Oreochromis niloticus: one gene and its partner. The protein of the gene in region 2 binds, or shares a complex with, the protein of the main gene of each other region. Links are inferred from orthologs where the notes say so. Each region holds a gene or a part of one and is shown on either strand. Other genes may lie near its edges.

Evidence for each region.
Region 1: ecsit (region 2) and tmem186 share a complex: the UniProt entries of both Homo sapiens proteins name them as parts of the mitochondrial complex. The link is inferred for Oreochromis niloticus from reciprocal best matches to the Homo sapiens genes ECSIT and TMEM186.

The regions. Positions count from the first base shown.
Region 1 is NC_031971.2:30,537,048-30,552,528, forward strand, and holds tmem186 (transmembrane protein 186), read right to left. Parts: upstream 7,197-15,481; 5' UTR 7,125-7,196; coding exon 7,122-7,124; intron 5,709-7,121; coding exon 5,046-5,708; 3' UTR 4,124-5,045; downstream 1-4,123. Other genes in the region: hmox2a (heme oxygenase 2a), read left to right, coding at 232-323, 441-558, 952-1,119, 1,308-1,631, 1,745-1,877, 2,180-2,307; gde1 (glycerophosphodiester phosphodiesterase 1), read left to right, coding at 7,648-7,917, 8,651-8,826, 10,957-11,062, 11,819-11,911, 13,157-13,368, 13,629-13,776. UniProt on the Homo sapiens protein: As part of the MCIA complex, required for efficient assembly of the mitochondrial complex I.
Region 2 is NC_031967.2:3,201,951-3,218,121, reverse strand, and holds ecsit (evolutionarily conserved signaling intermediate in Toll pathway, mitochondrial), read right to left. Parts: upstream 6,847-16,171; 5' UTR 6,692-6,846; intron 6,557-6,691; 5' UTR 6,470-6,556; coding exon 6,317-6,469; intron 6,149-6,316; coding exon 5,749-6,148; intron 5,658-5,748; coding exon 5,434-5,657; intron 5,318-5,433; coding exon 5,260-5,317; intron 5,138-5,259; coding exon 4,989-5,137; intron 4,526-4,988; coding exon 4,420-4,525; intron 4,335-4,419; coding exon 4,006-4,334; 3' UTR 3,481-4,005; intron 3,396-3,480; 3' UTR 3,192-3,395; downstream 1-3,191. Other genes in the region: uncharacterized protein si:dkey-28a3.2, read left to right, coding at 82-137, 225-527, 859-875; eml3 (echinoderm microtubule-associated protein-like 3), read left to right, coding at 8,531-8,555.

The DNA of each region.
Region 1 (15,481 bases), on a different chromosome or scaffold from region 2:
AAAGCGATATTGTAACCGTGTAAACAGGCTGTTTAACCGTAACCGTATTTAGGCTACATAAGCATATATATTTTTTACTTTAAATAAATAATTTTAACTGGTGACAAGTTGTTTATTTTGATGATTTAAATCTTTTCTTTTATTTCCTGCTTTTTTTCGTATTTGTTTGTCCTGTACATTTTTCTTTAAATCTCTGCCTTTTCTTATTAAGGCCAAAATATAACCAGTATAATGGAAAGCGAACTCCCACCAGAGCCCAACAGTGCCAACAAAGGAAGGTCAATGATTGCTTTGGATGATGACGATGATGATGAAGTTCTCAGGTATGAAGAAAACAAACTAAATAAGCAGCAGTTTATCTTTGCTGCTATTTTGTCATTCAGATAAACGGCTAAGTGTTCTTTTGTGTCGCCCTTCCTGTCCTTTTCTGCTTCACCAAGTCCAACAGACCTGTCTGAGCTGTTGGCCGAGGGGACCAAGGAGGCCCACGACAGAGCAGAGAACTGCCAGTTTGTCAAAGATTTCCTCAGGGGACGCATTAAAAGAGAGCTGTTTAAGGTTTGATTATTCACTATATAAAGGCAAGAATTAAGGCAGCTAAAGTGTCTGTGAACCAGTGAAAGTAATGAACTACTGTATACAGGAGAGCGTCACACAAAGGTCTTCAGTTTGACCCTGTATATCGAAAGTGCTTAGAGGCATAGGCCTACATTTAGTATTGTCAGTGTGATAAAGTCTTGATCTATGCTTTGCCTTGGTTCTAAGGCACGATCAGAAAAATGCTGCCAAAGAAACTGGCAAAATGTGAGCTGTCTGGAACATCAGTTTATCAAATAAAATCATATTTCACCATTTAACTGTATATTATGTCTAACAGTTTCTGCTAGATGAAACATTTTATGTCTGACTCTGACCCACTTATTCTCCCCTCTTTCCTCCCTCTGCTGTCAGAGAGGCACAGCAGCTCTATATTTTGTCTACTCGGCTATGGAGGAGGAGATTGAGAAGAACAAAGACCATCATCATATCGCTCCAATATATTTCCCCGCAGAGCTGCACCGGCGTGAGGCCCTGGCCCGGGACCTTGAGTATTTCTATGGAGAAGACTGGGAAAACCAGGTCAGTAGGAAGCATATGGAGGATATATATGTCAGTCACAGAGGAGGCTGGTCTTTTCTGGCACTTAAGTCATGATTATACAGGTATCATCATCCCAAAAGCTGTATTTAATCAAATTTAACACAGAAAAATCTTCTCCAGACAAGGTTTGTATCAACTGGACTTTCACAGTTGTGTTCTCTCTTCAGATCAGCCTCTCTGCAGGCACCAAGCCTTATGTGGACCGCATCCATGAGGTGGGGGAGAAGGACCCGGTGTTGTTAGTGGCCCACTCCTACACCCGCTACATGGGTGATCTCTCAGGTGGACAGATCCTTAAGAAAGTGGCACAGAGGGCTTTAAAGCTCCCCTCAACAGGAGAAGGTCTCAATTTCTACCAGTTTGAGGGAATCCACAGTCACAAAGGCTTCAAGCAGCTTTACCGAAGCAGGATGAATGAGCTGGAACTGGATGCTGAGACCAAAGACAGGATTGTGGAAGAATCTAATCGGGCTTTTGGCTTTAACATGATGGTGAGGAAACTGCTTATAGGAATTATACAATGTACAGCAATTTGCAAAAAGGTGCATTGTTTGAAAGAGAAATTTAAAGGTAATAAAAATCTAATTTTATTATTTAAAAAAAGGTATTCACAGAACTTGAAGAGCTTGGAAAAACTATCAAAGAGGAGGTCCAAGATGCAGGGTTTGGACACAGTCATGCAGAGATGATGGAGGGTGAGGATATCAACAAGTGCCCGTATTATGCAGCTAAAATGGGTAAGAAATGCATCCCCTTTACTGTATTTATGACATTTGTTTCTAGCATTTCATTCTGCAGATAGAAAGTTAAAAACTTGGTGCTCAGTTTAATAATAGTTTATAGATTTGCCTTTAAAAGATTGGACAGTGTCATCATGGACTTCAGTTAAAAGGGGATCCTTATAACTGTGGGATGTCTGAGTGGAAAGTGTCAGACCATCATTCATAGCTACAAAGTTACATGAAGTACCTAATTCAATTGTCCTGTTTTTTTTCCCTCCTTTTTTCTGTATTCTCATCTTCATGTCTCCTCTGAACAGCTGTTAGTGGAAATCCTACGCATGCGTGCCAGTTAGCCATGACACTTCTCAGACATCCGCCCTGCCAGGTGGTTCTGGCTGCCTGGATGGCTGTCCTCGCTGGATTTACTGCCTGGTACTTTATGTGATCTCTGACACATCTTGATCTGCTGAAGAAGAGTCATGGACACTGTTAGATCCAGCCAAACTTCATCTTCCTTAGTTTGACCGGTACTATCAGAAAGTGCCAAACAGTTAATCAGAAACTAGATAATGTTTGAATATGTGCCAAGAGTTTTCCCCTATGAATCCCACTCTGTGTTCCACTGTCTTTCTACTTCTGAAACAGCTTATGGCGGTGAAAAAGCTTTTGCAGTGATGCAGTTCTTTGAAAAGCTATTTTATGATGCATGCACTTTGAGTTAAGCGACACTTTATGGATGTAGAAATATTAAATGCATACTCTTCTGTTATGTTATTAAAATGTTTTTGAACAGTTTTAGTGTCAAGGACTCTTATGAGAGTTGAACACTTGAGGCAAAGTAACCAACCAAGAGAGGACCTTGGTCAGGGAGGACTGTAAATATGCAATAGATTCTAAAAACATGTTTCCACTTTGTTATGGTGGGGTTTTTATTGTATACATTTAAAGATAAACACAGTAAGGTGTGCAAAGACAAAACAAGAAAAATCTGTTTGAATTCTTTCTGAAGCAACTCAACATTAAAATATTTTGTGAATTAATTCTGTTCTTTGACTTTTTATTGGTCAATTTAAAAGTTTAAAGATTTTTTTCTTCCTAATATAAAGTTTCTTCAGCATTTGCATGTGCTATGTTTAAATTCACCAATATTTTGTATGGATCAATTTCAAATCGTGTTCTGCAACTCAAAACATAAAGGAAGTGGGAAAAAAACGTGCAAAAGAGCAAGAGAAAGCCAACAATCCCCCAGAGGCACATACTGATGACTCAGATTAAACTGAGTGAGTGCTTATAAATTACGTATTGCGAGTGTTTCTCTGGAGTTGATAGGATTGCTGCTGATGTGTAGAATTCAGTGGAAACATCTATGCAGAGTTTTAGGCTCAGAAAGTTCTTACACATGAGTGTAAGTGAAGACATTTGGATTTGAAGTGGACACAAATTTTAATGTTCTTTTTTTTTTTTACCTGAAACACCTGTTGTCAAAACGATCTCTACACACTTAACAGCTTTTGTGGAGCGTTCATTAACTGTGTATCAGGTGCACAAGAAGCCTTCGTTAAGCAGTAACTAAGCTTTGAGCTCAATTGTCACGGTCAAACTGACGGGAATGTTTTTGGAGTTTTGAAGGTTTTTGATGCAAAGAGATCCCTAAAGTTCAAACAATTCATTTTGCACACACCATGAGTTTTTAGACCGCTTTTGGAAATTTGTTTCCCCCTTACACAATGAGAAATGAATTCAGCATATGCATTATTTCAGTTTTCATTAAAGATCTTGAATTCTTGCAAGCACGAGACACACTTCTCCAAACTTTTCTGAAGTCAGCGATTTTAAAGAATTGCATTTTTGTCATTTCATTTCACCCTGAGACTGAACCAGAGTGGTCTGCTTTTCACCAATATCCATTTACTTTGTTTACATTTAGTCCTTTTGTGAAACACGTCGTGTTTTGCATCCATCGTCACATTCACCTGTACTTTCCAGGACAAAGCCGTGCCTCTCTTTTGCTCTGTTCTAATATTATGAATACAATCGTTATCCAAATGATTTGCAAATCTCATGATCGTTTTATTTTTGTCACAGTACCACTTCTAGACAAACTAAAATCAGTCCAGGTCCATAGTAACATAGTGAAACACTTTTTTTAATGAGACATGTGGAGTCATATGTTTTTTGTTTTCTTGTTTTTTTGAAAGAGTAAATAAATAAAAAGCTTTATGAAGCTGTGGTCATATGTGGCAGTATTTCCAGGGCCAATATTTGAGATATTGTAAATGTAAATGGAATAATGTTTATGCAGTGCTTTTCTACTGTTACTGAGAACTCAAAAAACATTTATAAAAGCTTATTATCTATGATACACACTCCTTCATATTTGCAAATCACTTTGATATGAGCCAAGAAACCTGGATCAAATCACCAGCTGGTAGTTAACCTGCTCTACTTCTATTTCTAGATGTCAGAAAACATCTTAACCAAGATAGAACTGAAAACTCGCAGGTTCTAAAAACTCAGCAAGAGAAACTGTTCCCAAAGTGACATTTCTTTGAACCAAACCTGAGGCAAAATGTATGAATAATTCCCCGTTTCTACAGCCAGGATGCCCTAACCCTAGCCCAATCAAAAACAATGTTGAAAAATGCATTTTACATAATAACAGTTTTAAGGTTTACACTTTAACCTAACACACACAAAAAAAATCAATATCAGGAGGAGACAACTTCTTTGGAGCTTGCAGCAAGAAGGACATGTGACCCGTGGAGCTATCCTATCATGGTCTAATGATGCAACATGAATATTCGGACAATGTTAGGCCAATCTCACTTGATTTTTTTATTTCAGCTGCATACATAGTCACCATTTAGTAGACAACTGTTAACCTACCACAGGGTTAGGGTTAGGGTCCAGATTTTTTTTTTTTTTTTTTAAATCTGCAATCTTACTTCTCAACCTTAATTAAGATAAAAAAAGAAAAATAATAATAAACCAGTAATTTATCAACTGTGGATGATTCAGATCTATGTCAGCTAAAATATCTTAGATATAAAATATAACAGCAAGCTGTATAATGTGTTTTCATTTAGAATATTGTTCATGGACAATAGATGCATCTCTTAACATGTTATATTTTGATAATACTATTCAGAATACTCCACATTTTCTTTTAAACAAATAATCATTTTAAAAACTTCCAAACACTTTTTTAAAAGCCTGTTCATCCACCACACGTCCAAAATGAGTTGAGAAATACAGAGTCTCCGCACTGCTGTATCTCTTAAATTTCAGTATGGTCTCATTTACGGAGTCCCCTGTGTCTCCAATGGTCATGACATCTGACACTGGCAGGTACATATCATGGCGCTTTCCCCAGAAAGTGAGGTGGGACACTTTGAGCGTGGTCTGAGATGGATCCAGATACATCATTCCCACCACCCTTCTGAAGAAGTAACTGGCAGTATACAGCATAACACCAGCAAACAGAGCTATCCCTGTCGTGTAGCCGACAAGAAAGGCGGAGGCAGCTCCCTGGAAGTAGAGGACGTACACCGGGGGCAAGAGGACCACAGTTATTGCAGTTTGGAGGAGTTTGAGCCTGGACACAGCTCGAAGGAGCTTAATGTATGGCAGGGTGTAAATCATAGTGTACTTCTGTGTGGACACATCCGAGTAATTAACAAGGGCTGTGATTTTAGGGATAACAGGTCCATGTAGGCGCTGCTGAATTGGCCTGAGACTTGGTGAACAAGGCTGCAAACTGTAAGGTGTTCGAGCTGCGAACAGACTTGATCCTCTGGTGAAGGACAGGACGTGGGGAGTTAATCTGCACCGAAGAAGCGACCTGATCTGTAGAAAAATAAATAACATCAAACAGATAAATTCAATATGACATGTTATTCTCTGTCAGTATTTCCTACCAGGGTTCATCAATACAATCTCAGAGAACAACACATGTGGGGGATCAGATAAAGACCTGTTCCAAAACAACTACTGATGGCATAATGTAACTCTACAATGGCCTTATTTAATAAATAAATAAATAAATAAATAAATAAATAAATAAATGGAGTCTGGAGAAAATGAAGACATTGATGGATTCTCATACACATTTTCCACATGTGTGTTCTAAGCAAGTGCATTATCAATGTATACCTGTAAGTATTTGTACCACATAACCCGTCTAATGGCATGGACATGTATAGTAATAGGGGTCTCATCTCCAGCTGATATAGAATCCTCCACTTTGTGCAGGTGGTACTCTGCACACCAGTTCACAAACCCGTCCGCTCCAGCTCTATGGCTGGAAATAAGCTCCACTCGCATATAACTTGCATCCATTTAGTTTAACAGACACGGTTGAGCTCTTTGACAGTAGGTAAAGTTTCTCACAGAAGGAAAATAGATTGCTTGTTACCACATTAGCAAATGAGGACTTGCCTCTAGGCATACCATCTGGAAACCAATACTGTAAAAGATCAGGTTTAGCTCTTCATCAAGCCAGGTGGTAAAATATGAGGGAAGCACTTTTTTGGCTCATTTAGGTCACCACAGCAGATAATTTGCCTCCACCTCACCCTGGTATATCCTCGGTCATATCTAAATATCCTCTTTTTTGCTTCTGCCTGGCAACTCCATCTTCAACATCTTTTATCCAATATATCCATTATCCCTCCTCTGCACATGTCCAAACCATCTCAGCTTTGCTTCTCTAACTTTGCCTCTAAACTGTTGAACCTGACCTTTCCCTCTGATGCGCTCATTCCTAATTTTGTCCATTCTGATCTCTCCCTATGAAGCTCTTACAACTCTTCCACCTCCGATCTTTTTGCCAGTGCCATCATGTCCAAACCATACATCATAGCATCACTACCATCTTGCAAACCTTCCCCTTCACTCTTGCTGCCATAAATCACCCCAGACCCTCATCTCAGCCTTCCTGTACTCTCTACTTCACTTATTTTGTGCACTGTACGTTGCTATTGCAGTAATATACAAAATATAATATTATGCAGTTGCTTAAAAAAATACAAGAGGTATACCCAGACGAACACTTGCAGTACATGTACAGCAGCTGTTGTGTAGCCGCTGTGTGGAATAAAAGAACCTGAAGGTGCACATGTCCTGACTGAGCTGTCACCAATGACTGTAGAAAACACACAGCCCTGCCACAGCACTAATGACCTTGTGTGGCTAAAAATTAATCTTACTGATAATAACAGTCAATGCTGGATAAGAGCTTGCATATAAAACGAGGCTTACCATGATCAGAGACCAGCTAAATGAAAGAAAAACGCAGAAACAAGAAAGATGGATCACGAAATGACATGACTTGAACGAGCGCTAACAGGAAGCAGTTATGCGGTGTGACCCGGATGTGCTCACCTTTAACGTCTCGTTTTTATGTTAATGTATGTTTAATTATTTCTTTTTTTTGTTCCGAGACATCCTGTGAGAAAGCTGTCAATGATCGCTCTGTAACAGCTCAGTGAGAATAATAATTACAATTTTATTATAATTTTGAATAAATCTAATTCATTTTGGGGGTGTTAGCTTAAATGCGGAACGGGAAGCGTAAATCAGCAGTTCCCTTTAAGTCGCGGACAGGGGACTGTCTCTTGGTAATGAGTGTTTTATCGCCGGGCAAAACATGTTCTTATCTCATTTAGGTCGTTTAAAGAAACTAAAATTAGGACAGTAAACGTCCCACACCTTAAATGCGGAACATTTCCTGCCAGGTGCTATTTTCTGCTGTGGGACAGGTGGAGAAGACAAAGACAGGACAACGATGGTCCAGCTGGGAGATGAAGCGACCCTGTACTCCCTTATCTTCGTGGGGATCCTGCTGGGGACCCGAAGCCCGGTGTGGACAGTGGTCCTCACCGCCTCTCTCTACCTCTTTCTAGCCATGTTCCGCTTCCCACAGGTACCATCCAGCCGAACCCAGAAGGTGCTCCACCCAGTCAAGGGCACGGCGGGCACCGGCAAGGTGTCGGTGGTCGCTCACCGGGGCGGCGGGCACGATGCACCGGAGAACACGATAGCATCTATCCGAGAGGTGAGAGAATGAGGTGGGGAGGGTTTTGGAGCGATAATCCTTCATATGCCCTTTTTTGTTTCTTTTTTTATGGCAGTGGTTGCAAGGGGAACTACTGCGATGTCTTTAACTTCTGGTATTCACACCCAGTTTGTATCTGGATAACTTATCAGCACAGAGAACATGCATTTTAAGGCCACCACTGTTCCAGCAGCACCTTCTATCACAATGTTATCAGCCAGTTCCCAACTAGCCAGCCTCGTTTAACTAATCTGCATGTTGAGATAAAGTAAAGAGATGTGAGTAATAATTAATCTAATACCATCTGGATATGCGTAGTCCCATGTATTGGTTTTAATTTATACAAATAAAGATATCAAATACAGACCACATGCTTATATCAGGTGTATATGAGGTGCGAGTGTGCTGAGCCAGAAATTACACCTCAAAAATACACCTGCTAGTGCTTTTTAGTGTACAGACTTTGTTGCAGTGGTGTTCCCTTTCAAACAGCATTTCGTAACTGCAATATACCCCCATTTATAGGTCAACACAGAGTACAGATATAATCAGTTTGCTAGTCAAGTAAAATTTTCTTCAAATGGATCGTGGCCATTATGTCTACTTTTGTCGTACAGTAGTTGAAAATTAAGCTGCAAAGTTTGTTTTTCTAAGTGGATTTTAGGGCAGATTTGTGACCACCAACTCCATCTGAAAAAACATCCAATGCTGAAAATTGTCTGTTCTGTTGAAGGCCAGTAAGAATGGGGCGACTGGTGTGGAATTGGACCTGGAGTTCTCAGCAGATGGCGTCCCAATACTGATGCATGATGAGACCGTGGACCGGACCACCAGTGGGTCAGGATTCCTCAGCAAGATGAAAATGTCAGAGCTGGCTAAACTGGATGCAGCTGCTAAACATCGACTCAGGTAAGAAAGAAGCATATAGTCAGGAAGGCACAAACAAAGCACACGGTAGTGAGGTGCTTTAATGTGATACAGGTTCTTGCACACTAATATACTAGCAGGTTTAAACATCCACTGAAATAAGGTAATTTCCCCCTCGAAGGGAGGATGTATGTAATCTGCTCAGTTTGTCTGTTTGTTAGCGGTCTAGCATACACAGAAGCCACAACACAAGATTTCATTTTAAATTTTATTTTGATCAATTTGAGCTGATTTTTATTTTAGTGAACATTGGGTCAAGGTTACATCAAATGTGAAATTCAGTAAAAACTTTGTTATCCACAAATTATAATTTGTCTTTAAACTTTATAGCAATATACTAGGCATTGTTGGAAATGAGTACCTAGGTGGTCAAGCATTTCACCTTGGCCTTCACTGCGCATGGAGAGAGCTGTACAACACACTTTTTTTTTTTTTTTTTCCAATATGATGCCATATGATGTCACAATGACGGCATAAAGTTTTGCAAAATCACACACTGGATGATTATATCTTATCTTAAAGTTGTTACAGCTTATCAATGCCAAAGATTTCAGCCAGTTCTGCTCCAATCATATGGGTAAAGATAACAAAATACACATATTCTAGTATGTAATGCTTCAAGGTCAAAGGTCAGGGTCACACAAATAAGAAAATACTTCAGTTTCTACTGGATCATATCCAACATTTAAAGTAATATATTAGTCACTGGGGGGCATATGCATTTTTTTTTATTTTTTTTACTTTAACTTATATGACTTTACAATAACACAGCAATATAAAGATTATATACTACACTAGACTTCCATATTAACAATGCTCACTATTCCAACCAATTTGTGCACTGAACCACCGACAGCAAAACACCCCCAGAGCATGATGCTACTACCACCATGCTTGGCAGTTAGTACAGTGTTCATAGATTTGAAAGCTTCTCCGTCACTCCTACAAACACGTCTCTTGGCATGTTTGGCATTGTGACCAAAGAGCTCAATCTTTGTCTAATCAGACCATAAAACTTTTGTTTTGAAGGCTTTTGGTTTATCCATGTGGACAGCTGCAAATTGCAGTCAAAATGGCCTGCATTTGTATAGCGCTTTACTCAGTCCCTAAGGACCCCAAAGCACTTTACACTACATTCAGTCATTCACCCATTCACACACTGGCAATGGCAAGCTACATTGTAGCCACAGCTGCCCTGGGGCGCACTGACAGAGGCGAGGCTGCCGGACACTGGCGCCACCGGGCCCTCTGACCACCACCAGTAAGCAAACATGGGGTTAGCCCAAGGATATTTGGCATGCAGCCAGGAGGCAGCCTGGGATCGAACCACCGACCTTCTGATTAGTGGCTGACCAAGGTGTCAGTTTTGGAGCAGTGTCTTCTTTCTTAGTCAGCCACGGTGGCAGTCAAGGTGTCAGTTTTGGAGCAGTGTCTTCTTTCTTAGCCAGCACCCTCTCAATCTATGCTGGTTTGAGCCTCAGTGATTCCTGGGTTATTTTCTCTCATCTAAGATTGACTGTGTGTGTCTTCGTCAAGACCTTGGCAAAGTGGTTACTCGTCTGAATAATTCGTGCTTATGTACAACAGTTTTAAACTAATAATTTCAGACTCTTAACAAGAAGTTAATAGGTTTTTGCTTCTCGATTTACACAAACCCAATTTACACACATGTTCAAATAATACTTTCTCTATGACAGTTTGATTGTACTGTGTTAGATAAACACTGTATTTTGCCTGAGGACAGCATTTAGATTGGATGTGCCAAGGATCAAATATCTGACTTTCCAAATCGATGACCCACTCCATCTCCAAAACACAAAACATTCAATACACATTAAAAACATCAACAAAACACACACGTAAACAAGGATCTTCTAAACTCACATACATACATTTCTGTTGCACACACATTTCTCAAAACAAACAAAAAATATAGCCCAGGGAAATATCGGAGCAGGTAAATGGCGGAGAACCGGAAAATTATGCTAGATGAGAGTGAACAAGTATAACAGTGACTTGGGCAAACTGTGTAGTGAGACGTATGAAAGATCACTGGCACAATATAAAAAGAAATCCAGTTAAAACGAGTCTTACTTGTTTTATTTCCACCAGGGACAAGTTTGCAGGAGAGAAGATCCCCACCCTGGAGGAGGCAGTGGAGGAATGCATCAAACTGCAGCTAACCATCTACTTTGATGTCAAAGGTCATCCAGATGAGGTAAACCAGGCCAACAAAACTGAGAGATTGCATCATGTGTGTTGATTTTAATTGATGGCTTGATACAAAATGATCACAAGTCCACCACTTCATTATTTCTACTTTTTTATTCATTACCAATAGAATGGCCCTATAATACATGTCACCACTCCATTAGTTACACAAATCTAATCATTAAAATTAGTTGTGGCAAGCCAGAGTCATACTGGGAATATCCAGAGAGGAGAAACACTACTAGGTCAAACACTGATGCACTTAGAGATGTCCAGAACACATGTTCCAGGTTTGTCTGTACTCAAACAAATTACAAACCTCTAAAACGCACACGGACGCGCACACACACAGCTTCTCACAGATTGAGGACAGCACCACTGATAAGTAATGTTTTGTTTGTGTGGTAACATTCTGCGTGCTGTTAGACGTTCCTTGTTTGTTTGCTCTTTAACAACTAAATGTAACTTTGTTTGTGTTGGCAACATAAAAACTGAGCCAAGGGCAGCAGTCTCTTAGCTTAAAGTTAGGTTAGTTACTCAACTCCTTAAGTGCAGCATTTGCACGTTTTTAAGGAAGGGAAAGCTGCAGTTGTGGTTGGAGGTTCGCATAGTGACGTTTCTGATTTGCTGGTCCGCGTGCCTGTGCATACACAGCTGCTAATTACCACCTAGTGGTCGGAGAGGAACACCCACAAGCAAAAACATTAAATCTGCAAACAGCTGAATGACCTACGATAACCATTTGTTTCTTCTTCCTACTCAGGCAGCCGCAGCTCTAAAAGAATTGTATAAGAAACATCCGGTCCTCTACAACAGCAGCATCGTCTGCTCCTTCGAGCCCAAAGTCATCTACAGGGTAAGACGGCTCATATCTGTAGAGTTTAAAGCTTAGTTCATGTCAGTAAACACACTATTTTTCAGGAGGGATTTTTCTCTGTGGTTTTCTTTATATGATCTCGTCCAACTAGAGGAAAATTACAATTTAGAAGAAAATACACCGAGGTAAACTAATATGTAGTATGAAGAATCAAATTACAGACATGAAGAGTTTCTGGTGACTTTCAGGTCACGTAGCACCGTTTGTCCCCAAAGGGGTAATTTCAAGGGAGTGCTTAGCTGCAATTACACACCCTTAAAAAGTACAAAAAGTAAAGATGCACAAAGTTCAGACAGTTCGGCTGCACACAGTGAAACAAAAAAACAACAGAAGAAATGTAGAAACATGTTTGTGTGGGTCAGCTTATCTTATTTATCCTACATTAATTAACTTCTACTATAAACTAGAAGTTCAAAGTTCTCTATGCATGATTATGAACCCTGACCACTTTCAGAAGATTTTTTTTAAACTTGCAGCACGTTGGCAACGTGGTTAACACTGTTGCCTCATAGTATGAAGGTCCTGGGTCCAAATCAAGCATTTGGCCTGGGCCTTTCTGTGTGGAGTTTGCATTTTCTCCCCATGTCTCTGTGGGTTCTCTTTGAGTACTCTGGCTTCCTATCATAGTTGGTGGGTTGCGTTAATTGCTGATTCTAAACTGGCCGTAGGTGTGGATGTAAGTATGAATGCTTTTGCCTCTGTGTTAGCACTGCCACAGGCTGGAGACCTGTCCAGGGTGTGCTCCACCTCAGGCCCTATGGCAGCTGTTACAGGCTCCAGGCCCTCCGCAACCCTGAGTAGGATAAGCGGATATCTGTGTGTTACACTTTGCACCTCTTAGACACATTTAGGTGATGGATTACAAGACTAATTAAACAGTATGAGCACACAGCTCTTAGTGCCTGAGCTCTTGGTTCCCATTTTCATTCACTTGTTACCAACTAAAGTGAACGCTAAGATGACCTGACATCAGCTGACATGTGGCTCAAAGTAGTTTACAGTTTTAATTGTACTTATTTTTGCACAGTCTAAGAGTTAACATGCAGTTATTTGGTTCACAATCCATACTGGACTAAAACGGTATTCTAATAAATAGTGCTGACTCAGAAAGAGGGGGAAAAAAATACACAAATTGCTCTATAACAAAACAGCATGCTTATCTCTCCCACATATATGTTTCTATTGTAGCTGCTGTTTTAATGTTCACCAACACTTTGTGTCCAGATGAGACAGAGTGACCCAGACGTGGTCACAGCACTGACCCACCGGCCTTGGAGCCTGAGCCGGTTCGGGGACGGTGCCCCGCGTTTCTCATCGCTGTGGAAACACCACTGGATGACTCTCATGGACATCTTGTTGGACTGGGCACACCATCATGTTTTGTGGAAGCTCTGTGGCGTTTCGGCGTTCCTGATACAGAAGAACTTTGTCTCACAGTGAGTTTTGTAGCTGGAACATACAGTCTTATATTCTATATATGCAGCAATGACTTCATTAGAGTGCAGATGTGTTAGAGGTGCATTTTAATGGCGCTGCTAACTGTCTTATTCCATGCTGGGGTTTATTGTTGTGGATCATCATTTTTTTACGTTATACCAAAAAAGTTGTCATTGCTTTGTACTCATCCTTAAAAGGTTTTTATCGGGTCATTCAGACCAGAGGAACATCACTCACCGATTGTGTGTCCTGTCTGCAGGGACTATGTGCAGTACTGGGCCCAGAGGGGTGTCGACGTTGTAGCCTGGACCGTCAACACACAAGTAGAGAAGGAGTATTACCAGGAGGTGCTAAAAGTCAACTACATCACAGACAGCATGGTGGAAGACTGTGACCCTCATTACTGACGTACACATAAATCCATTCCACAAAATGTTGGCATTTAATAAAGATAAAAGTCATAAAAAAAAAAGAACCGTCACCCAAATCTAGGCTCAAGCAAGAGATCATATACTCCTTTTAATTCCAAGAACACTTTCGCTGCTGTTTTTCTATGGGTGTATGTTTCCTGAAGCATTTAACTGGGCGCCATAACAAAATACCAATTAAAGATTTTATTACAATTAAATCACTTTAATAATGATGAACTCGCCTGTTATCTTTACAGACTTGTTAATGCAAGGTGCTGGTAATATGTGTCTATAATAGACCTGCAGCAATATGATGTATTCATCCACTCAGGACTACATCGTTTTTTTTTTTTTTAATGTTTGTCTTGTTGTGTTTATACAGTCTTTCAGATAATGCAGAGCACTGTGTGCGCTTTTTACTCACTAAGATCTGAAGAAATCTACCTTGAGATGATTTTTTTTTTTTTGTCATTTATGACATGTGAATACTACTTATTAAAGAAAGATACGTAAATGCTTTATAGAGCAGCATAGGCAAGCTAATAATAAGTAGGCTTGGTGATTACTTATGTTGTTAATGTATGGAGAAAACAAACTTTTAATGTTTTTTTTTTTTTCTTTGCAGTACACTTAAAATTTTGCTCCTCATTGTAGTGCTGTGTTTTTGTTTGTTTGTTTTTTTGCAGTTATTTAATACTGCAGTGATAAGTACCTGCTTAAGGTGACAGAGCTGCTTTTTTCCCCTTTATTACAGTAACAAAGTACTGTATATGAAAACACAAGGACATTTATGAGGGATCAATTGTGGCACAGATAGACGAATGAAGTTAAAGCATGGGTTTGTGTAAGGCTCAAGTGTTACCAATAACACAGTGCCTTTTTTTTAAAAAAGTAAACCATTTTTTTTTAGCAGTATGACAGTTTTGTAACTGCTTTACTTGAATGGGTAAAAACTAAAGTTAGGTGTTGCTTGATGTTGCTGTTTGTCTGGAAAATCAGCCTCATGCTTTTGCATTTCATATACGATGAATGTAAACTTGAGTGTAGAATTTCAAAATGTAAATTACACAATTTGGTGTTGCCATAAGGCTTTAAATGACTTTAATAAGCCTGACTGATTCTGGGTGTTGGGGCTAATGACTGCCAGCTTTTGGTGGTAACCACATTCTAGTATCTGATGATATCATTACATCTATACACTATAGATACTACTGTACACCAGAGGTGGGCAATTAATTTTCCTAAGTTTAGAAACTGGAACGGTTGTGGAGGTAAAATATCAAATTTTTACTCAACCATAAAATCTATGTTTACTAATTAAATGGCTCCAAGTAACAGGAAAATGCATCAACCGTTTAAAGTAAGGTGACACGGACTCATTGCCTTAAATAAATGTGTACTAACTTTACTTGTTTGCATATTTATTCCCATTTTGAGGCAGGAGAACCCCCTGTAATCAGACTATTTCTAATTTACCCCAGTTTTATTAACATTGGCCAACCTAGGCTGGATTTCTAAAAACATGACATACTTACATGTTTCAGATCATGAAACAAATTTTAGGGCTAGACAAATATAACTCAAGTAAATACAAAATGCACACAGTAAAAAAACCAAGTGTCAATTTTACACTTAGAGAGTTGATTTTAACTCTGCTTCAGATAACATTTGGTCCCACTCAAAATTAGAGTTAAATTTACTC
Region 2 (16,171 bases):
TGAGAGATTTCTTTTGCTCGCTTTCTTTTGACATCAGCATCATCAACATTCAGGATAACACACAAAAATCTCCCTTCACAGCTCTTCAGTGGACTCGGCATCCTTTACATACTCGGATTACACAGCGCCAATCGAAGGTAAAGTATGTCACTTTGAACTTGAAGGAATGCACATAAAATAGTGAAAGTAACCAAAAACAAACTCTTCTCTAACTGCCTTCTCAGATGAGTCAGAGCTGCTGTTTGCTGAAAGTGAGGAGGATTCTGTTTCCGATGCTGTGTGGAGGAGCCGCTACCTCATGGACTATGACCCACTCAACCAGCTGCTGGTGTGCATGGTGTGTGGGGAACTGCAATATTCCCACAGCCTAGAGGGAGTGAAGGCCCACATTGACGAGGCCCACCCGCACACCCTGACCTTGGAACCCGGCGAGAAAGAGCAAATACGGGAGGCCTGGGATGAGCAGGTGTCCCGGCGGGAACGCTTCTTCAGCAGCCAGCTGCAGCAGCACAGCAGACCTGTGGCAGGTACAGTATGTGCTCGGATCACGTAGTTAAGCCGTGTTTGCAAGGGTGTTGGAAAAGTGACGAGTCAAACAGACATTTCAGACTTATTCACACAACCACAAGAAGTCACCTGACTTTGTAACAGAGCAGAGTTAAAAGTAGCTGCAAAAGAGCATCTGTTAGCCTCATCTGTACGACTGATCCCCAATGAGGTATATCCTTTAATCGCCTCATATATTCATATAATGTAATGGTAGCAATGCTGGCTCAGCAGTTATATACAATAGTTGACAGTGCAAACTCACCTGACTGCACCGATCAGTGAAACAACGCTGTCTGACTTCTTTTGCAGAACCACACAAGAACTGAAGAGCTGGAGAGACGGCTGCAGGAGGAACTGAAGACCATGGACCGGGAGACACAAACCCTCCCTCCTCCTTTCTCTCATTTATTGTATTTTTTTTATCAGTGTGTTTACCTCTGTAGGAAGACACCTTGGACAAGAAGGCCCTAAAGCAGCTTTACCTCATTTCCTGCCAGGGTTGTGTATGTTTATCAAAGGCAGTGAGGACATTTTTATACTGAAGCTGCCTCATCCAAGTTTTGCTGTCAGTCCTTCCCTTGTCCTGTTCGTGGTCTCGCTGTGCTCCTTTTTTTCTCTCACCCCCAATCAGTTGCAGCAAACGGTTGCTCCTGCTTCTCCCAGAACGTTCCTCCTGTTCAAAAGGAGTTCTTCCTCCCCACTCTTGCTGCTCATGGGGGATCATTGCACTTCTCCATAATATTTTTGCTTTTTACAATACAGCACCTTCAGATGAGTGTTGGAGTGAAACATTACTATATAAAGGAAACTACATTTTGGAAATCTTCACTCTGGGAAGGCTAAGCTAATGGGATTCTGGATCTGTTTATTAGGCCACTGAGCTTTCTGTTCTTAATTTATTGATCCAATCACAGACTTGCACAAACATTTTCTTTGATCACATGACCTCTGTGGGCACCATAATAAAATATAACCTGTGTTTTCCAGCTGGAGCATACTCATAGCCAGTTTGTACATTCCTTACTGCTCTCTTCTGCCTTGTTGGGTTTTCTGCAGGGATAAACATTTCAGCATCCTGGGAAGACACTATAGGTATTCCAAGGAAAAACGGGATAATAGGTAGTATGGGGGTAAAAGACTTGCTGAATGAGTAGCTCAGAAGCTCAGTCATAAAATTAGCACCAGTGGCCAGGCTGTGAATTCCATAGTGGGAAGTGTTTTAGCACCAAATATAAAGAAAAATATTGATTGTGTAAAGTTCCTGAAAACTCCTGGAAGGTGGAACCTGCTGGCTGAGCTGCTGAGAGCACAAACTGGGGCTGAATGCACGGGACTGAGGAACATTACTGCTGAATACGTTTGTATTGGAGGACGGGGTCATCCTTCTTTCTAATGTCAGTCTTGCTTTTAACTCGTAGACGGCAGTTAGCAGGCTTGTGCAGAGACACACTACCTGTTCACTGATAAGCAGCCGTGGGATAACATCCATGGCTTTTGTCAATGTGACATTTATAGTTAATTATAAATTAAGTTAATATTTAACCCTGGGATTAGTCAGCTATAGAAAAAACAGCATCAGCACAACATTTTCTACTATTTGGAAGCTGATAGAATCTGCTAGTGTGCAGATTTTCCTGCAGGCTTGTATTCAGGTTAGTCTGCTCTAGATTCTTGATAGTTTCTCAATCACTGAATGGGGCATCTGGAACTGAGCTGCAATTCTTTTCTATTTGCTACTGCATCACACCCTGACCTGTTTCTCTACGGCAGGGGTCCCCAATCCCAGTCCACGAGGGCCGGTGTCCTGCAGGTTTTAGATCTCACCCTGGGTCAACACACCTGAATCACAAGATTAGTTCATTACCAGGCATCTGGAGGACTTCAAGACATGTTGAGGAGGTAATTTATCCATTTAAATCAGCTGTGATGGATCAAGGACACATCTAAAACCTGCAGGGACACTTGCCCTCGTGGACTGGGAATGGGGACCCCTGCTCTACGGGCAACGTTTTTTACCCAGACAACTTTCTTAGGGACAGTTTGTCACCTCTGCAAAAATCTCCTGCAGCACTGTAAATAGACTAATATAAAGCTGGTTATGACATGCCAAATGTGACTTTTTCTGTGCCGTTCCACAATATTTGGAGCAGCCTTGTTATTTATTGAATCTCCTCTTACGCAAGTGATCGTTGATGATGCATTATTCATATCTGTAGAAAGTTCCATGTTAGAAAAGTATTTCATTTGTGAATGTTATCAATCCAAGGCTTTCCTACTTAAGTAGTAAATGGATGAAGTGCTCTGGAATGCTTTTCAATGATTTTTCTATGATTTTCATGAAGACTACAACACTGAAATATTCTTGTATTTGAGCACAAAGCTGAGGAGCTGAACACTGTCTGTGGAGCCACAAGGCAGTGGAAAGAGCTTGTGGTGACCAGATCACTCATGAAAATCAGACGTGATTGTCTGCCAGTTTAAAAGGGAATGTTTAAATGCCTTTTCAGTAATAAACTTTTTCTACTGTTCATTCGAATCCTTTGTCTTTTTTGTTAAACTCTGTTTTCTCCAGTGCAGTTGTGTGGCATTATCATCAGAGATATTAAGAATTTCACATTAAAAAGCACAAAATTCCTGCTTTGTACATTGACCATATCATTTTTATTGAATCCATTGAAGTTGCATTTGATGGAGCCTGGACGAAGCACCAGTGTGGCTGCACCCTGGGCCTGCGATGGCAGCTGTGGGTGACCTTTGTGTGAGCAGTGCAAACTTGCCAATGCACTGCATTAAGGCAATGCATGGATGCAGAGCATGATGATGCACCTCATCAGGAGCTTTTTTTACTAAGAGATGGAATAACAGTTTCACAAACACACATTTTGCTAATTAACAAAACTACAATCAAAAATGGTTTTAGAGAAACCCTACCAGACACTCCACTGCTGAAAGACCACAGACGATGAGACGAGTCTACAAAGTTTCCTCCACAGTCTGACCTCAACCCCAACGTCATGACGACTGAAAAAGCCAAACAGTCCTGACAGCGTGAGCTCACTGAAGTCTGCGTGGCGAGCTGTTGTCATTACAGCAAAAACCAAGTAAACCAAAATCAAGTACGGACGTCAAAAACCAAAAACAGCAAGAGCTTCAATAGTAGTGAAAAACAGTCAATGGTTAAAGAGAGTCCAAACGTAAATGGAAGTCAACATTTACTGTGACAACTTGACTTCATCATTGTTTATTTGCACAGCTATAATGACTTCATCTGAACACATACGGAGTTAGTACTTAGTACTTCCCCAGATAGTCTGCTGTATTTTAAGGGAGTCAAACATTTGTGACTGAATAAATACGTTTGCAATCATTTTGTATGGCTTTATTAAATATGCTAAAAAGAATTTACAAAAACCTCCCAGCTGGTTGGGAGGGAGTCAGGAGGAAACTTTCTCCTGTTCACTGCTTCACACCCTGGCTTCTCCTGGGCTCCTCTTCCACTACAGCCTCAGCTTCTTCCACTACAGCCTCAGCTTCTTCCACTACAGCCTCAGCTTCCTCCCCAGGGTGTGCTTCTTCTCTTTGGACGTGTGAAGGAAACCAGGATCGACTGGCCGAGTCGGCGTCGCCCACCCCTTGCAGCTCCCGGGGTCCAGCGCCCAGTCGGAACAGCGTGGGGATCTGACCTAGGATGGGGTTACTCTCTTGGAGGCCAGAGATCCACTGATTGAGGGTAGCCTGGTCCCCCTGACTGGTCATGCACATGGCAAAGACTGGACCTTCATCCACTGGATAGACACACAGACACAGATCATCTATGTTACACCCTGGAAGTGAGGGGTTGTGGTCAACAGCAGTGATGCCATATCTTACAGTCTTCCACATCGAAGCTCTCATCGTCCCCCAGGTCGCGATCCAAATCCAGGTCTAGCTGCAGAGGATAGCTCAAACACCTCTCTGGGTCATAGGGCTCTTCTATCTGGGGGGAGGGAGGAGGAATGTTTTTGTAATTTAATTCACATATTCTATATTCATCAGAGTCTACAATGAGGGGAACACACAGGCGGTCACTGCTGAAAAGGCCGGCTGTTTGCAGATGACAGCCAGCCGAAGAACCGGGGAGAGCTTCACAGGCAGTGGAGTGAGGGTGGTGTCAGTTCCCCAAACACCAGCATGCACAGATGTCTACAGGAAAGCAGCTACAACTGCTGCATTCCTAATATCTGAGTGTATTAATGAACACACCAAGCTGGACATTTCTGTATTATAAATCCTGTTTTTAATTGATCTTAGGAAATATTCTAGAATCTGAGATTCTGGGTGTGACTTTTCTGAGCTATAACCCACAATCATTAGAATTCAAACACACTGTTATATGATCATCACACAGCATTTATTATCCACTACCCACTTTGTAATGGATAACAGTAATGTTCGCCCACCTTCTCTTCAGGTGGGGTAGGGTCAGCTCTGAGGACGTAGTAGTAAACACACGTTTTTCTCATCCACAGAGGGAAGGGGCCCTCCACAAACACGGGTCTGTCAGGGTTGTGCTTAGCGAGCGCTTCCATCTGGCCGGGGCTCTGGATGCCTGGTGCAAACACAGGAAAGACAGAAACAAACAACAAATATGGAAATTATGCCTCTATTAGTATTTATTAGCAATATATTTCTGACTAAAACACAGAATGTAGTTTCTCAAGTCATCCATACCTACTATATGTGGAAGTGTGACTTCAGCGCCGCTCTCTGTGACGTCTGTACAGGGCAGCTTGTGAGGAGAGCACACACACAAAGAGTTTGGTAAATACAAGATTTACATCTGATGACAAAAGTCAAAGACTGTTTCCAGCCTTCATGCTAAGCTAGGCTAACCCACACGTATACCTGGTAGACGGTCACTTTTGCATCCCAGTCGTTTGCCATGCGAGTGAGGCTGAAGCGTGCCAGGTCTACTGGGTCTTCAGGCAGTTGCTCAGGAATAGGAAAGGGGTTTACGTGCTTGAACTTGGGGAACCAGTACATGATACGCTGGTACTTTCTCATAGGGTGGGTCTTTTCTCCAAAGATCTGGACCAGCAGCACTTTGGTCTCAATGTTGGGCATGATACCTGAAGCACAGACACTGACACTTAGACACAAAAACAGTGTAAAGAATACCTCAAGATTCTCAGCAACTACCACAAAACTATAGACACCCACCATAATTCTCCATCTGCTCCAGGACCTGCACTCCACACTCCTGCTGACGGGGATAGTGGTTGAACATTCTCTGGATGAAGTTTCGCGGCACGAATACCTCTTTAGGAAAAACATCCAGCAGCTTGTTGTAGACAGTGAGGTCTTTTTCCACCCCGAATTCTGGCATCTTCTTCAGAGCAGCATAGATAAACTCCACATGACCTCGACGCCTTATGTCTCCCTTGGTGTAGACGTCTATCACTTTGTTAAATGTGGCCTTGGTTTTGGCTTCTTTGGCAACCTGCTCAAACAGGTCATCGTGGGTGACCAGAGATTTGTCCCTCGTCTTGTCCTCCTCCTGAACGAACCGTGCAGGCTGACCCTTGGTGCACGCTGGGCTGCTGTGGAAATGTCTCAACACCTAAAAGCAACATGTTTTAGTTATGAACGCATATAAAAATTCATTCATATGATCTGATTAGATTATTTATTGATTAACAACAAACAAAGAGTCGACTGCCAGCTGCCTTTCTCTGCGGTTATATCAGTGTGGTTTAAGAGCTTAAGTCTGGTCGCTGCTAAAGCTCACCTCGCGCTGTGCGCACTGCAAGCCGCCGAGCTGACTCGAGGAGCGTGGCCGGAATAGAGCGCCGTTGTCTCCAGCAGCAGGAGGCAGCAGCCTCCCTGCGTGGCTGAGCAGCCGCAGAGACTTGAGCTGATGCAGGCAGCGGCTGCCCTTCATAGTCGAGCCATCATAGCGAGTGTTAGAGAACAGAAGTGCGCACGGACGTGAAGCTCACACATTCACTCTTCGGTGAACCTCATCCAGCTGTAAATATTTGTACAGAACAATAAAACTTTACATTTCACATTTTTGTGAAGTTTAGTTCGTCAGCTGCTCAAACGTTGTAGTAAGGATAGTTATTATTATTACCCCAAAATGTATAACCAAGTTAATACTGACCATTAATGCCGACAATCGGACAAGACTAGAGTCTCCTTCAGAAAGCGCTGTCAATGTACGCTACCATGTTGAAAGGCCAGTACAGCATTCCGGTCCGACACGCGTTTCCTTCCCCCAAACAACGGAAACAGTGACAGAAATGATTGTTCCGTAAAACCGCAAATAAGCGCAGTAAATATTCTCCATTGAAATGCAGGAAAATTATTATTTAATCAATGCTATTATCCGCGTTGTAGCTATGATTCTTCAAACTATTAAACAAAAGTAAGAAAAGAGAACGCTAACTAAATTTAAAAAAAAAAAAAATCATTGTCGTGTTCTTGTCAGTTTAGTCTAATTCAGGAGATATTTCTTAAGGCAAGAGTCACCACTTTGCAGCCATTGTCGAGCTTATGTTGGCTGACAATGGAGTATTAAAATTCCCTTGAATTCAGATACACTCACGGTGACACAACGTTGCATTTATAGAATCGCTATATAAGGAAAACAACAAAACAACAACAAAAACAAAAACAAATAAAATCACAACTAAAAACTAAAAGAGATTTTAGTTATAAGGGAAGGGACGCGTAGAGCTGCCACCCAGGCAAAAGAAAAATACAGCTATATCACGTTATAACGTGAAAACTTTATTGTTCTAACAATATACCTTTCATGTTTGTACAATATAATTTTCGCGTTTGAACAACATAATATCACGTTTTTAGAATATACAGAATTATCACGTTATAACAAAAAAAACCTTTCACGTTCTTACAATAAATAAATATTTATCTGTCAATAAATATTATATTGTACGAACGTGGTAATTATGTATATTGTAATAACGTGATATTATGTTGTTCAAACGCGAAAATTATATTGTACTTACATGATGCTATATTGTACAAACAAGTATATTATTAGAACAATAAAAATTTTCACGTTACAACGTGATATAGCTCTATTTTTTGCCTGGATGGCAGGTCTACGCTTCCGTAATAAGGCGTTTTATATAAAATAAATAAATCACCTGTCTTGCGGGTATCTTTATGACGTCAGATCACTGTTACAAAAGGACATTTTTAACGTCAATTACGCTTTCTAACTGGATCAATAAAGGATATATAAAGTCACTTTACCAAAAACTAATTGAAGCTTCTACCTTGTGACAGGAATATTGTGTGTGGTGAAGACGACTGGATATCATTCATGAGGGATGCATGTGATATACGTTTCATTTCTTATAGGCCAACAAGTTATTTATAGCCGTTTGAATGCAGGCGATCACTTTCTGGCACAGGTTTCAGGGCTTGTAGTGCACAGCGCCACCACGAGATGGAAACAAATGCTCGTCTTCTAGCTGTCAGATGATGACTGCAGAGCTGCAGCCATAAGAAGCTGCTGTAAGAGTTCTGTGAAATGTTCTGGTATGCGGACACTGTGAAATCCTCTTTACTGAATCACTATGACTGAGGCGAATATCTGGCAGCACCTTTAGCCGTACCTGGTGCCTTCCCGCCAATAGTGTCAAGTTAGCTATAACGAGGGGCTACACTTCCGGAAGCGGTTTTCAGTCTGTGGTGTGATTGTTTTTTAGTTTTTCATTTTATATAAAGTAATTTCGAACTATATTTTATATTTAAGCTCGATTTACTTATAAGTACCCCCCACACCCGTGCGTTTAATAAACTATTACGCTTTATGTTGCGGAAAATTTCGCGTTTCCGGTATTCTTAGACCTGTCAATCGACTGAAGTCTCCAGAGTGTGGGCTGTGATTCTCTGCTGTCAGCATGGAAAACACACCTTAGTGCATGCTGCTCCTCTAGAAACAGGAGACACCGTTTAAACTGGGATTATGGATTCCTCTACCAACAGTTTGGGTGAGTACAGCAGCGACAGTGGTCCTTTGTGTTTGTGTGTGTGTTTTTTTACTGACACCATTAGCATTGTGGAAACTTCACTGTCCGTGCTCGGATCAGATAATCACATCGCTCTCAAAGGAACGCTGTCAAACAGCTTCAAAGATGGCAATCTTTAGAGAAAACTAGCATACACCGCACCATACACGTCTTTACACAGTTTAACTAACGCGTTAAACCTCGAACTTTGTTCGGCCGCCTTTCAGTCACACCAAAACTCTGTAACTGAACACTTAAATCCAGTTTTTCAGCAGTTTGGCAGCGCTCGTCGCCGCATTCTTTGGTGTCTTTTATTGCAAGCGGATAGTCGGCGGAACATCCGCTCTGTCTTTCAAAGGATTTTTGGTGCTTAATTTTGGGCTTTTCCACATTTCTCCATGTTTTGTTCAGTAACTCGTCCACACTTTAGCAAAGACAGACAGTGGTCTTAAACGTCGATGGAGAAACAGGACGTTACAGCAGCACTCTGTGACTGTGTAGATGTGTGGGAACGGGCTGCACATCGTTTACATTATTTCTGTGGCATTCAAATAGTTGTCTTAAGTCTGGCCCGAGTGATCAGGACACCCTGGAGGCGTGCCTGCAACGCCCTCACTTTGTGTTGCAAACTGAGTTGTGTGCTGCTGATAGATTCCATTTTGTCACGCGTGGGTAGTTTGAGCATCAACATTGAGACCACCGGCAGAGCGTTCAGGAGCCTGAAATAATGGAATAAAATGCACGGAAGATCGCAGCAGCCTGTGTCCATGCACAAACAGTTCATCAATATATTAGACGAAGTACCAGCTGAACATCCTTCTCTCCAAGTCACTGTGGGTTGGGTGAAAAAGCTCCACCCTGTCTGCCCCCACAATACTTATTATTATGCAGGAACTGGAAGTTTGATAGCTGCCCAGTGCTGCTTTTGATTCCCATCTGTATACAAACATCCACACCCCAAGCCTATCTTACATACTCATAACGTGGTTTCTTGAAAGCTGGTGGGCAGCCAAAGTACTGGGGAACAGCGAATATATTAATATCACATGGGGAAGCTTGAGGAAGGCAGCTGTGACTCAGTGCTGGAGGAACCTTTAAGACACAGCCATTTCTCTTAGTGAAGACCTGTGTTACGATGGTGATTATGTTTAATAAATGAAGGTTGTGATACATTACCTGCCTTGGAAAGCTGTATGAGGTGTGCTGGAACTTTGGAGATTTGCTTGTACCTCAGTGTCAGCTGGCTGGCTTATGTAATATGAGTTTGTAGGGATCAAATCACTGCTGTGTTCAGCAGTAACATGCAGATACTGATACGCAATATTTCCTCCACTGAATACAGCCCAGTATGGTGGACAGATTTGCAGGAATCAAATGCCAGCATAAAAGGTGAAGTAAATCTGACATTAGATTAAATGACTGGCTGATAGACAGAAAAACTATCTTTGCAAACTAATCATAGTAATTTTTTAGGGAAGAGGGGACAAATGTGCAGTGTATGCAGATTCCAGTGCCACACAAAAGAAACTTTACTGCTTTTCCAACAGTTTACTTCTGTTAATGGGTATTTGAGACTTAACAAAACAAGACATTTTAAAGATACTGCCTTCAGTTTTAATACTGATATCATTTTTTAGATGTTAAAAATAAAGTAAGATAATATATCCATATTGGAAATACAAAATAAGCCTGTTATCTTACTGCATTTCTGTTGTTTCATAACATGAGTCCTGTGTTCTGTAATTGTTGTGTCCATGACTTTTATCAGTAATGATAACTGTACAAGTTCAGTCTGGGCAGAAATTTGGAAAAGCATGAAAAACTCCTCAGATTTTCAAAATGCATTTACTGAGTCACTCCTAGCAGATGAACATGGACACATGCATGCTTTGTGTGTGTCTGTGTGTGTGTGAACACCATACAACCCAATGAAGTATCACACCCTCTTAAGTAACTGCATAACTTTAGACGTTACAAGAAACTCCCCGGCACAGAGTAAGGAATGGAAGACCTTTGTTTCAAATGACAGATGTGCTGAAGTCTGTAGTTTATGGCTCAGGAGGTAAAGTGTTTGTTTACTAGTTGGGAAGATAGTTTTTTCATACTCTGATCTTCCATAAAAGGTCACAGCTTATGCTAATAGGGTCAAATAGACCAGATTAGAAGAACTGTATAGAAATTCCAGTGAATGTGGGATTTATGTTTGGACGTAACTCAGCGTTACCTTGCTTACATTGGCAGGAATCCTAGTAAAGGTGGGGGATCGTACCATTAACCCTGACTGACTAACACTTCTTTCTGACCCACACAGATCATGTACAGTCGCACACTTAAAGGAGCTCAAGTGCATAAGCATAATATAAGTACCAAGCTCTTTACTATAAATGAGAACAGTGGAGGGAAAATAGAATCAGTGAAACGCTTTGCTGACACCGACATGTGCTTTGTTGTGGTAATTGTCAGCCTCTCTTTTATAGACTCCATCTTTGATGAGCTATTTTTCTTTGTCATGGTTTGCTTTGGTGTATAGGCAGCTGTTGCTAATGCTGGAATAGCAACTTTTCTTACAGGAAGTGACATCACTTACTCCCTGTTTCAAGCATCTGAAGAGGCATCCCTTCTTCTGTCATGAGTTTGATTTGTATAACTTGAAAAGAGAAGAAAAATTTAATTACAGTCTGCTTACGGATTACTGTAAAAATGTGTGCATACCCCACTTACACAGCTGGAAGATGTGAACGTGGTCACATTGCTGTAGTACATAAGACAGGACAAGAAATACACACCTTTACACTCAAACAAGCATTATAAAAGCCATCAGAGGACTAACGCCAGTTACTGTTACTGTTAAACCCAAATACTGTTTATACTGTAGCACTTAGACACGTGCTCTAATAGAGAGGTTTAGAATTAGCGCAGCAGAATCGAGTCTATTCATACAGCACTTAGTCAGTGGAGCTCATTATCTTTGTCAGTTTGCTGCTGTAAACACCACACTGAGAACAGGAGTTATACTTGGTGTATATACGGTAAGGATTAAATTAGTGGAACCAAAGTGGATTTATCATTTCAGCGTGTTGTGGTTTTGGCTCGAACTGCTGTCTAGAAGGAGTACTGTGAGGATTTGGGACGCGTTGCAGTTGTGCAGAGATCAGCAGGAAGTTGCATCAGCAAATAGCAGCTATTTCAGTGTTTTTCCCAGAATGTTGTAATAGTGCTTCTTTTCAGAAGAACACACATGCTCTTTTGCTGGAGCCTGGAGGTAAACACTCTTTCTTTCTGTCTCAGGGCTGCAAGTTAAAGCTCACTACTTTCTAATAGACACTGAAACGTCTCTGTAGCATTGAATGAATGCTGACTACTGTCTGGTCAGTTTAAAGATTGAAGTCTGGTAAATCAGAGTAGTTTCAGTGGTGCCTTGTTTTGATCTCCTCAGTTTCTCAACTGCCAGTACACCTGTAAATGACAAGGAATGAACGAAACCACAGCAGCTTAAACATCAGTCTGTGCAGTTAAAGCAGTTCTGATAATAAATCAGTCTCACTCAGTGAGATCATGATGTGGCAGAGATTTATGTTCCATGGGCCTTCAGTGGCTTACAGTTTTGTTAACTGTATGTAGAGCAAGCATGGACTTGCATTGTGTTTGTCTGCCTCATTGAGGCCTGACGGTTAAAATTGTGACAGCGTGTTGTAAGCTGCACCATCTCCTCTGGTTTTTTGACAGTTACTTTATCCATGGTTTTATCCTTTAAGATAGCAAGGCTGGCTTAACTGGTTTTGGGGCCCCTGCTGCAGTTTGCGAGAACAGTGTAAACCAATAAATCCACTCATGCAACAGTAATCAAACCCAGCATTATTTGTCTTTTGTTAAATCATTGTCCTTTGGATTTTTATGCTGTGCTTATCCCGTATAATGGTGGCATAGTGTTACTGAAGTGGATGTGCATGCGTGCATAAAGATTGTATAATGTGTGTGTGTTGTTAGTGGGGTGGGGCTGGGTGACTTTTCCAATTTTATATGAACTTTGTACTTTTAACTTCGATATTGTTTATATTAGTTTATTTAACGTTGGGTTCACCTGCCCAGAGACTGGCTAGGAGCTAAATTTGGTACGAGGTGTCTCGTATCTGCTGAGATCCGCGTTCTTGTTTGTGGTTCGTGACAAATAAAAAGTAAAAATGAAATGAAACGGGGGTGTCAGACTCAGTTTCACTAAGGACCACATGGGGAAATGAGACTCGTCACACGTCAGTCCCGCCGACATGCTCTAGGATCATCTAAATGTCGTCGTAACCACTTGTTTCATGTCCCTGACCCAAACCGAGTGTCACCGTCTCAGTGACGGGTGGCTCGGAGAAATATTTAGTTAAGATATAAATATTTTTGCCCTCATATGTCTTCTGTGCATTCAGTGTTGGAAACTGTTCCTTGAAAACGTGTTCTCACCCTCCCACCTGTGAACGTATCTGCCTGCAGCATCAACTTTCCATTTGTATGCCGTCTTTTTTTCACCAGCTTGTTGGCTTCCAGCTGCAGTGTAGAAGTGCCTGTCGTTTGGGTGCATTGTGTGCACAAGGCACAGTTTTGTGTGCAGACTACAATCGGTTAGTTTTAATTATAGTCCTTTCATAAATTCTCTTACTACAACCGCAGCAGAGTAGAGAGTACTCAGAGGGAACACATTCAGGTGCAGGGAGAACATGCAAATGCCACACAAAGGCACCACCCGGCCTACAGAATCAAACCCACAATATGTTTCTGTGAGGTGACAGCGCTAACCACTGCATCACGTTGTCATCGGGTGTGTTTTTGTGATCCTCCCTGAAGATAAACACAGGAATGAGAGTTGAAGTGAGGGACTGTAAAGGAGGTCAGCTCGTCTAATGTACAGTCCTGGTGAATTAGGAGCCGTTTGCAGCCATACAAGCTGTGCAGTCAGTCACATGTGTGCAGCGGCATGGTGGTGGGGTGGGGGGAGTATTTCTCACAGATGGTGCAGCTCTCTGTTTCACTTCTCAGATGGGACCTCGGCACTTGTGCAGGGGCGTACAGGATGTTGAGCAGCGGCAAACATCTAAATCAAAGTAGAGAATTACAGACTGAGCGCTGTGTGTCTGTAGGTGGCTGAGGTCATGATGCAGCATCCTTGGGTGACAGGTAGAAAGAGTGGGCGGACGCTGTGACAATACGTGTGTTAGTCAAACGGATGCAGGACACAAATACTCTTTTTAACTTGTATTTAAGCACACTGCATGCAGATAAGCAGCTAAGCAGGGCTTATTAAAAACTAAAGCAACATTTGGAGAAGAGCAGTAATCTAGATTTGTAGTAACATGTTTAATGTAGATAAAAGTAAAACAGGAACTTTAGTGGCTGATTATAGTGGCTGGGTCCTTAAATGACCCTGAGCCTTTTACCAAAGAGATCATCAGTGGATTATTCTTAGCTTTGGGAGCAAATTCTCTCTTTTTTAACAATCTGTGGATACGGCAGAATGCCAACAACGCATGAGGCTTGTGCTGTGTTTCACAGACTAATTTTTCTTTTCTTAAATTGATCCGCTTCGTTTTCTCTCAAAACCTGAATCATAGGTTTAGTATAACCTGCCAAGCGGGGTTTACATCCTGTAATGTTCAGAAACACTCCTTTTTTTCTCCTACTGAACGCTGCTGCTGGACTAGAACTGCTGTCACGTCCAGTAACTACTGTGTCACTGGGCTTCAAGTGCACCACAAACACTTGAGCTCTGTTCCTAAACTTTCCCTTGTTGAGAAAACCCTGTGACGTGTATGAAGAGTCTTTTGTCTAACATTCCTGTGTCATTTCCTGTCAGTCATTCTGTGTCTGCTGGCATATGTTGAGCAGGAATGAGATGTCAGCAAATATCCTCACCTTGATATAATAACGATATTCAGATCTGAAATTTGTGGAATGTGAAAAAAGTACTGTTAGTGTGTTTGTTCACATAATGCATATTCAGATTACTCAATTATGACATCCCTAGCCATAACTCAGAAACTGAGAAGCAAGTCCACGCAGAGATAAGACATTCCAAAATTGGTGACATAACCTGCTTTTGCACTTCCATGTTACGACAGACGAACTGTGAATAGTAACCAGAATTCCAGTATAGCTACACTGAATTTAATGTGGATCAAATTCCAGCTTCCCCTGAGCTGTTGCCAAACAGCTCTGAGTCATCCAGTCTTGGCTTCCATGTGAAAAATGAAAAGAAGAAAACCAGACTGGAAGTGGAGTAAGATCATTTATGCAGATGTGTGCTTATGTTGTGGTTAGACCTTTACAATAGCAAAGATTGTATCTGTTTTCTGATGGAATTGTACATTGTGTGAGATTTTCTGTGATGACCAATAGGAACAGTGGTTATTCTGTTTTATTGCCTCTTGGTCCAGCTTACTGACTGGTTCAGATCATGTCTATCCCTTCAAATGCCGTGTTTTGTTTTGGGTGGCTTTGCTTTGAGTAAAGCAGTGCTGATGTTTTGCCTCCAAATTAAAATGCCTCTCACAAGGACGTGTGGTCTCATGTGCTCTCCCTAATCATTTAAATCTGTAGTAATGACATCAAAAATGTGGCTAACTAAGAATTTCTTACATTTATAGCAAAAAAAAAAATGGCAGACAGTCAAACAACTGTGGAAGGATGGTGAGTCATATATATATAGACTGTATATTAAATGCCTCTCACTCTCTGTGGCCGTCCAAACATGCACATTTACAGAAATAGCACAGAGTTTAAAGAGTTTAGAATGTTTTTGGCATTTTAGTGTTAGCTTTTCAGAAATTCATTTCAGCCTCCACACTTTACTTCTACAACCAGTAAACCAGTAAAACCAGACAATAAAACACCCCATGGATCTATAAAACCAGCCTACTGAGTACAGGATCCCACTGCCAAAAACAGATCCTGTGAAGAAGCCACACTGGGTGTGGCACCACCAAACTGCAAGTCATGGTCTCACCAGAAATCCAACTAGCAATTTCCCCCTAGATAGCATGTACACATATAGCATTATAGCAGGCAATACTAGTGTCTCATTTGCAATAGCTTTAAGTTTACTGTTAAAAAGTAAGATTTGGACTCGTCGGGGGGAGGGGGGGTCTTTGGACTGTGGGAGCAAGCCAGAGAGGGAACATAGACAGTCCACACAGAAAGAACCCATCTGGCTTATTGATTGACTGTCATCACTCACATCACTCGTCGATCTCCCTTTCAAGAACATCTTGTTGTGAAACACAACAGTTAATCATATCATCCTGATAAACAGACCGAGAGACCTGGTTGGGATGTCTGGCTCTGTTCTAGACTGGTTTTTATCCTACATATCTGAAAGGAGTTTTAGTGTCTCTGCAAACCAGATCATGTCTGAATCTACAGAGCTGCTGTGTGGAGTTCCTCAGGGCTCCGTGCTGGGACCTATTCTGTTTTTAATATACATTTTTCCTTTAGGCCAGAGTTTCCTGATGTATCTTATCATCTTTTTGCTGACGATATTCATCTGTACTGCTCATTTAAGCCTTCTGAAGTTTATATGGTTTCCACTCTGACTGTTTAACAAACATTAAAAAATGGTT